Linked DNA regions of Alligator mississippiensis. The protein of the gene in region 2 purifies or fractionates together with the protein of the main gene of each other region. This does not show direct contact. Links are inferred from orthologs where the notes say so. Each region holds a gene or a part of one and is shown on either strand. Other genes may lie near its edges.

Region 1 (3,746 bases), on a different chromosome or scaffold from region 2:
CAGGGCGTCCCTCGGCAACGCAACGCGGGCTTGCAGCTTTCATTCCTTTCCTGATTGCAGAAACACAGGAGAGTGATACTTCTGTGGCAAAGAACTGAGAGAGGCCACAACCGAGCAGCCTCGCCCTGTGGTGCCTGGCTAGGCTGTCCCAGGTGCCACAGGGCGAGGTGTGCACACACAGGCTTTGGAAGGATTTCACGCAGGGGAACCCCAGCACTGAGAGAGGCCATGAGGGAGCTGCCTGCACTTAACACTTTGTTTTTTAAGGAAAAATGTTCATGTTCCAAGCCAAATCGATTCCAAATCCGCGAGTCATTCCAGAATCAAACGTGGCACTGCTCCACCCCTGCCTGGGGCTTCAGATGCTTCTCAATCCTTTGATGGGCATCCTCTGTGCAGGCCTGGCAGCTTGGGGTTCAGGTGCCCCCGAGTTCCCCTTGCCCTCGGGGGCATGGCTGCAGGAGCACGTGCAGGAGGAGTCGGCATGTAGCCAAGATCTGCCCGCTGGATTATCTCCATCAGGATACTACCCCCTGCCAAGAAAGTGGTTTTCCCCTACAACTAGGAAAACCACCTTCATGGTTATGGTATTCCCCTGCCAGGTAAGTACCGGGGGGCTTCCCCGTGTGAAAGCCTCGCCCTGTGGCACCCCGTGGCACATGGGACAGGCACCCCAGGGTGAGGCTGCTGCGCTGGCCACCACGGCTGCTCCACAGGCGCAGGGGGCACCACGTGAGTAGCCCAGGGGCACTGGGCGAGTCCACAACAGGAGCCGCGCAACTTCCCTCCCGTGTGTGCGCAATGCAGCGCTCCATCTACTTCTGCCCCCTCCCCTTTCGCACTTGGAACAGCCCGTCCTATGCAGAAGCCTCGTTCTCGCTTCCCCTCCTCCGCGGGCGCCAGGCGCTGCCCCCCCCCCCTCCTCCAACGGCTCTATTTTGTCCCCGGGCGCGCTCCGTAGCGCGTGCGGCGGCCCCTCCCTCTGCGGCTGCCCGGCGCGGCGGTAGCAGGAGGACAGGCGCACACGCACGCACGTACACGGGCGGGGACACGCACGCACGCACGGCGGCTCGGAGGCGCCATGGCGGCTGCTCGCAGCGACATGGCGGAGCTGGAGGGGCCGCTGCCCGGCCAGGCGGCTGAGGAGGAGGCTGGAGCGGAGGCCGGCGGCGGGGCTGGAGTCGGGGCGGGCCCGCGGGCGGTGCTGCTGCTGCTGGGCGGCGAGGCGGAGAGCATGTCGGAGCGCAGCCCGGGCAGCGCGAGCCAGGCGGGCGACGAGGAGGAAGAGGACGAGGAGGAGGAGGGCGGCGAGGAGGAGGAGAGGAGTAGCCTGGCGGGTAGCAGCAGCGGCTGCTGCAGCGACGAGACGCGCTCGCTCAGCCCCGGCGGCAGCAGCGAGGCGGACGCCAAGGATGAGCCCAAGGGCCCGCGGGGTGGGCAGGCAGCAGGGCCGGGCCGCGGCGGCGCGGGGGGCTGCGGGGCCGGCGGCAGCAGCAGCAGTAGTAGTAGCAGTAGTAGCAGCAGCGTGTCGAGCGGCGCGGACGAGGGCTACGGCACGGGTGGCGGCGGCAGCAGCAGCTGCAGTGCCACGTCGGGTGGCCGCCGCGGCAGCCTGGAGATGTCGTCGGACGGGGAGCCGCTCAGCCGCATGGACTCGGAGGACAGGTGGGTTCAACGGAGGGACCGCCCTGCCCGTCAGCCACAGGTTCCACCTTCCCCCCCCCCCCCCCCCCCCCCCCCCCGATCGGCCACCGAGAGAAGGGGCCGGGCAGCTCTGCTGTTGCAAACACCTCGGTTCGTGGCGTTTGTAAGGCTGCCGAGTTCCACTACACCCCTCTGGTGGGGTTCGTGTCTGCTCACCTAAGGGCCGGGTGTATGCTGTGCGGCACCCTAGAAAGGGTCCGCAGGCACCCTGGGGTACTTCATGTTGTCCCATTGTGTTCTCCCCCATACACAGGGTTGAGAATTGCCAGGAGAAGTGTAAAAGTCATTTGTCCCTTCAGCTTCTGGGGGACGAAGAGCCTCCTGCATATGATTTTGTCACTGGCTGGGTTTCGTGACCCTGAACAGGACAGTTACTGATTTATACAGGTGTAAAAATCTACTTGGTCCTAAAGGTTGTGCTTCTCCCCCCCCCCCCCAAAAGGGTTGGACAGATTGGGTTGGGTTTGGGGCTTCTCAGCCTCTTGTAGGCTAGGATCAAGTGTAGTGAATCTTGAAATGCAGCCCCCTGGATTTATTTACTTATTTATGTTTTGGAAGCCCTTCAGTCTGGTACCTACAGGAGGCTTTTGTAAGCATAGCTTAATAGAAGGTGGATACTTGCATTGTAAAGTTTCATAGTTTTTCCGGGGTGCTGTTGTTTTGTTTTGTTTATTTGTTTTAAGTTAACCTGTCTCTGAAGTTGTACTTCCCATTGCAGTACAGCTAGTGTGTTGTAATAGTCTAAGGTGAAATGTTAAACGTTAAACTGAGTTTATTTTGATGCGTTCTGTCAGTTTCAGTATAAATGTCTAGGTCCTACAGAGAGGAAGTAGCAACCTGGCTGTAACACTTCTCTTAGAGAATTTTAATGTACTTGCTCTAACACATGCTGCCTTCCATTACATGGGAAAACCTTTCCACATATTTTTTTCTCACTAAAAAGTATGTAGGCAGTTTTGTTCCTTCTTATTATTTCCCCCCCTTAACTCTAGTGTGGGTTAAGAATACATGTAGCTGTTACCTTTAGAAAACCATTCCTCAATTTTATATCTGGCTATATAATATGTATACAATTGGATCTATTCAGAAAAATAATTGAGTTCCATACACTATAAAAGTTCTTATCCATTTATATGAAGTTTTCTAAATGAGCAATTAATTTCATGTGTAATGTAGAGTTTACTTTAACCACTGTCTGTGTAATCTAAACTGGTAAAGTACACAACCTATATAGGGATTTTTTCATAGTTGGGTTCTAAGATTTATTTGAAAATATAGTAAAGCTGTGTTTTTCACTACTCTGAATTTGTTAGGGTTTTCTGGGATGTTAAAATTGCAGATGTGTAGGAGGCTTCAATGCGCAACCCCAAGTGTTCATGAGCTGTGTAACAAGTGCCCCCAAACAGATTTTTAAATCAAGTGACTTGATCTAAAAATCATTACACTTTTATAGAGAGAGAGAAGAGATATTTTATTATTATTATTATTATTATTTCTTTCTTTGGGTTCAACTTTTATGTTGGTCAGATTATCAACCTTTTCTCTGCAACCCTAAGGCTTAGAAACATTTTTTTTTTAAGTGAAAGATGAGACTTTATGAAATCCTGTGTCTTTAAGAGAGAGTCTCTCTGCTAGATGTGCCATAAACTTGTGAAGATTGGCAGTTGCAAGTACGCATTTTTTCTTCTCATCTAAATCAGATCATATATTCGGGTGGCTTAGTCCTTGAAATATTAGACTAGAAGAGGGGAGCTCGCTAACCTGTGGGGCTCAACCCAAAAAAGTAGTTGGGTTAGGATAGGAGAGCAATAGAAAAAAATGGCAGAGTTTCTCTTAAACAATTTACCTATTATCTGGTGGGACTTGTGGGAACCCCAACTTTCTCGCTATTTCTTTTTGTGTGTGTCTGTTTTCATGTTCTGAGATGGCCGTGCATCTAAATCTGTGCATGCAGTTTTCTGCACCCACTCATAGCACCCTTGTTGCTTTTTTTCAGATTCAGTCACAGGAGTAGGGGCCCCAGAGACAAGGTGTGGCAGGGG
Region 2 (3,746 bases):
GGTTTTGTGGCTGTCTCAATGCATCTCATGTCTCAGGATCATGGACTGAAGGCCCTAACTATCTCCTCCTACCTGAGCACCTTCTTCACTTAACTGTAGAACTGTGCTTATTCATGCCTTGCCTCTTTGCCGCAAGGCATCATGTAATGTGTTATACAGTGGAGTGCACCTTCAACTGGAGGAGTGGTGAGTGCCTTGTCCCTGACTTGATTGTATCTTGGTGATCACGACAGTTTTAGGTGAGAGTTTGTACTTCGTAAAACTGAGGCAGGCATTGAACCTTGATCTCCTACTTCCTGCAGAAGAGCTCTAACCACAAGGGTATATATATGTAGGGTGAGTGATAGCATCACCACCTCCACTGGTTGTGTTTTTGAATGAAAGTGGCTGAGACTGCAATTTCTTGCTGTATTTTTTCTTGTCAGTATGTAGTAGGTATACTCAAAGCAGGCCTATCAGACTGGCATCTTCAGTGGACTTGGGCTTAGTATAAAGATCCCAAATGGGCTTAGATGTGAGGCAGTCCTGCCTACGTGACGTCAGTTCTGGACACGTGGGGATTTTGTCCTTTGCCAAGTCCTTTTTCTGCCTAGGAGGTTACGGAGAGGGTTAGCACTCTTATGAGGAGTCTGTGAAGAAGTCCTCTTTTTTGTGCTTCTGGACCATCATGACCAGAAACAATCAGTTCAATTTACAGAATATAGATGCTTCTTCTATTTAACTAATCAGTTAGTTTTATATATTAAATGGAATTCAATACGGCTCTTTTGTGTTGTATCTAGCACTTAACCTAGTTTTAACTAATAAAAAATAAATTAAAATGCAGACAATCAGCATTTTAATTGAAATCAGATTTCCACCCTGAAGAAGCTTTATGAACATCCCAAAACAAAAATGAATGGTTTGGCAAGTAGGTAATGATGAACACGGTGATTATTGCATTTTATTATGTTAACATATATCAATGTATTTCTAAGCTGTATAATTGCTCAAACATATACTTAATATAGCCTTCAAGTTAGTAAAGACAAGTACCAAATTGGTAGAGGTTATATTAAACTATCAAGACCTGCCTTAATAGTTACTACCTACTGAGAACCTGCCGTTCTTTAGGAAAAAAGAACCAAAAAGCAATGAATAAAAATAAATAGAACACGATTTCTTAGATATGCATATATTCCTTGGCATTTCTATGTTTCTAACTTTCTGGTCATTCTTTCACATGTTGAGATCTGAGAGACTTTTCCATAGATTTTAAAGTTAATTTTGGAGATCTCAGTCTTACAGTGACCTCTGTTCAGTCTATTTGTAGCCCTTTCAGGACGGAGAAAGGGACTACTTACTGATACGTTTTTCTATAAAGGTCAAGTCACAATTTATTGTAACACTGCACTGAAAAGTGTTTTTACAGAGATGTAAGTACCTATGCACGTATACAATAAAACGTCACTGTCAAATAGGGTGTAACACTCAATTCCTCTGCATGGCCTTACTTCCTTCTTATTAACTACTAGGGCTGTGTGAAATTTCGCTGAGTGTTTCCTTTCGAAGCTGTTTTGACGTGTTTTGAGCTCAAAACAGCAAAATCGAAACGAAACAAAAAGCATTGAAACAGCTTCGAAACATTTTGAATTTTGAAGCAGCCCGGTGGTGGGAGGCAGGGGAGAGCCAGGGCTGCGCTCCAAGCAGCTCCGCAGCCCCATGTTGCTCAGCCCGGTGGGGAACGCAGCCCTGGCTGTCCTCACTTCCTGCCACCGGGCTGCGCTCTGATCAGCTCCACCAGCCCCATGGAGCTCAGCCGTGGTGGGAGGAGGCGCACAGCCCTTGTAAGGCAGTCCTATGATAGTCGAGGTCTGAGAACTAAGGTCTCAGCCTCATACCTAATTTTTATTCATAGGTTAAAGAGAAAACCCAAGCTTTCCTGGTTCACATCAGTTTCTCAGTTATGAACAACCTAGTCGTGGTACAGAAAGGAACATCACAGGTGAAGAACGTATTCTTTCTGTACCTACTCAGGCCACAGCTGTCAGAAGTTGACTCATCGCTTCAACAAAGTTTTGTTTCAGATCAATAACCCTTCGCTTCAGCACTGCAACTTTTTTTTGAAGTTTTTGGCCACAAATACGTACGGTTTGGCTGTTTCCGCCCAGGGGCAGCCAACCTGCAGCCCAAGTAGCACAAGTAGCATTGGCAGCCTGGCACAGAGCAGACTGGGGAGGGGACAGGCAGCCCAGTGGCGGATTGGGCAGGGAGCAGATAGCAGAGCAGCCGATCAGGCAGGGGAAGGGGACGGCAGTGACACCTGGGAGAGGATGCAGGGATAAGCTGTGACACGCCTGCCGAAAAGAGTTGCTCCTTGCTGTTTAAGAAAGTGCTAAGGAAATTCAGGCCTTCAGGCAGGCCTATTTCATGTGCCACTCACAAGTATACACCCCCTTACACACGCACGTATATACACACCCCCTACACACACAATTCAGGACCCCACGCAGTTGCCACCTGTCACTAGGAGCCCGGCGCACACGTCTGCCCTGGGCCCCGCCAATCCCAGACTTCATGTCTCTACCCTGCCCTTGCGGACCCCCCATTCCCACTTTCATTCCCCCCCAAAACAGAGCCCATGGGGGCGGACCGCCCCCCCCCATTATGACACCTCTGATGCTGTCCCCACGTGGGCGCCCGCGGGCCTGTTCCATTCCGAGCGGGGGGGGGGATTCCTGCCCCCCGCCCCAATGGACGCGCCCGGCCGGCCCTGGGCCCCTGCGGCCCCGCAGCGGAGGGAGGCCCGAGGCCGCCCCCAGCCCCGCCGCCGCGCCCCGCTCACGTTCTCGTCACCGGACAGGTCCCCGGGGTTGCTGTTCTCGTCACTGCTCAGCTTCTGCTTCTTGGCCGGCATCTCGCTGCCCGCGCCCGCCGCCGCCGCCGGCGCCTCTCCCCGCTCAGACATCTTCCCCGCCCCCCGCCACGCCGCCGCAAAGCGCGCCCGGGCGGGCGAGGGCAGACACTGCCGTAAACCGCTGCCCCTCCACCTTGCGCCGTGTCGTAATGCGCGGCTGCCACACTGCGGGAAAACCCCCGCCCGCCTGTCTGCAGGGACCGAGCAGCCGTAGGCGGGGCGGGACTGGAGCAGCTGCAGAGGGGGAGGATGGGCTGCTTCGGGTCCAGGGAGCTCAGAGGGGTTCATATGCATGTTGTCATGTGCATTATGGCCCATCTCCAGGGCCAGCTCCCGCAGCCCCTCTGCCAGTGCCCTGGGGGTCTCCTTTTGCTGGAGGAAAGACCTCCCAAAGCAAGGGGGAGATGTGTCCGCTGCCCTGAATTGGGCACCTGCGTCTGAAAATAGCCACCGGCAGGTCTATTCTGCAAACGGGCGAGGGACATCATCGTGCAACACCCGCTATTTTCCAGTTAAAAAAGAAACTAGATGCTTTGCTAATGGGCCCCGGGTCCTCAGGCCAGGTTATTGTGTTTCAGGTGGAAGCGAAAACTCCTACAACTTGGTGAGCAGGAGTTACAAAACAACCGGCAGGGTTGTGAAATAGGAGCTTAGTGACCAGGAGCAGCGAACTGCAGAGTGGGAAAACGAAGGCTGGCTTCCTTGCTGCAACCTCCAGACCATTCAAAAGAAGAGAGAGTCATTAATGCCTGTGGAAAGAAGGGATCTAAAGTATATAAGTATATCGGGGTGTGTATTCACCAGGGCACCCCAAGGGAAGGCAAGGTTCAATGGTCACGAACTGCTGGAA

What was found. The genes of interacting proteins can lie anywhere in the genome.
Region 1: the proteins of EED (region 2) and AEBP2 purify together in Homo sapiens (affinity purification with mass spectrometry; 6 studies listed by BioGRID and IntAct, counting the BioPlex papers as one, with this or other methods). This does not show direct contact. The link is inferred for Alligator mississippiensis from reciprocal best matches to the Homo sapiens genes EED and AEBP2.

What each region holds. Positions count from the first base shown.
Region 1 is NC_081827.1:123,058,969-123,062,714, forward strand, and holds the start of AEBP2 (zinc finger protein AEBP2), read left to right. Parts: upstream 1-996; 5' UTR 997-1,081; coding exon 1,082-1,665; intron 1,666-3,746. UniProt on the Homo sapiens protein: Acts as an accessory subunit for the core Polycomb repressive complex 2 (PRC2), which mediates histone H3K27 (H3K27me3) trimethylation on chromatin leading to transcriptional repression of the affected target gene.
Region 2 is NC_081824.1:458,979,832-458,983,577, forward strand, and holds the start of EED (polycomb protein EED), read right to left. Parts: upstream 2,963-3,746; 5' UTR 2,948-2,962; coding exon 2,825-2,947; intron 1-2,824. UniProt on the Homo sapiens protein: Polycomb group (PcG) protein. Component of the PRC2/EED-EZH2 complex, which methylates 'Lys-9' and 'Lys-27' of histone H3, leading to transcriptional repression of the affected target gene.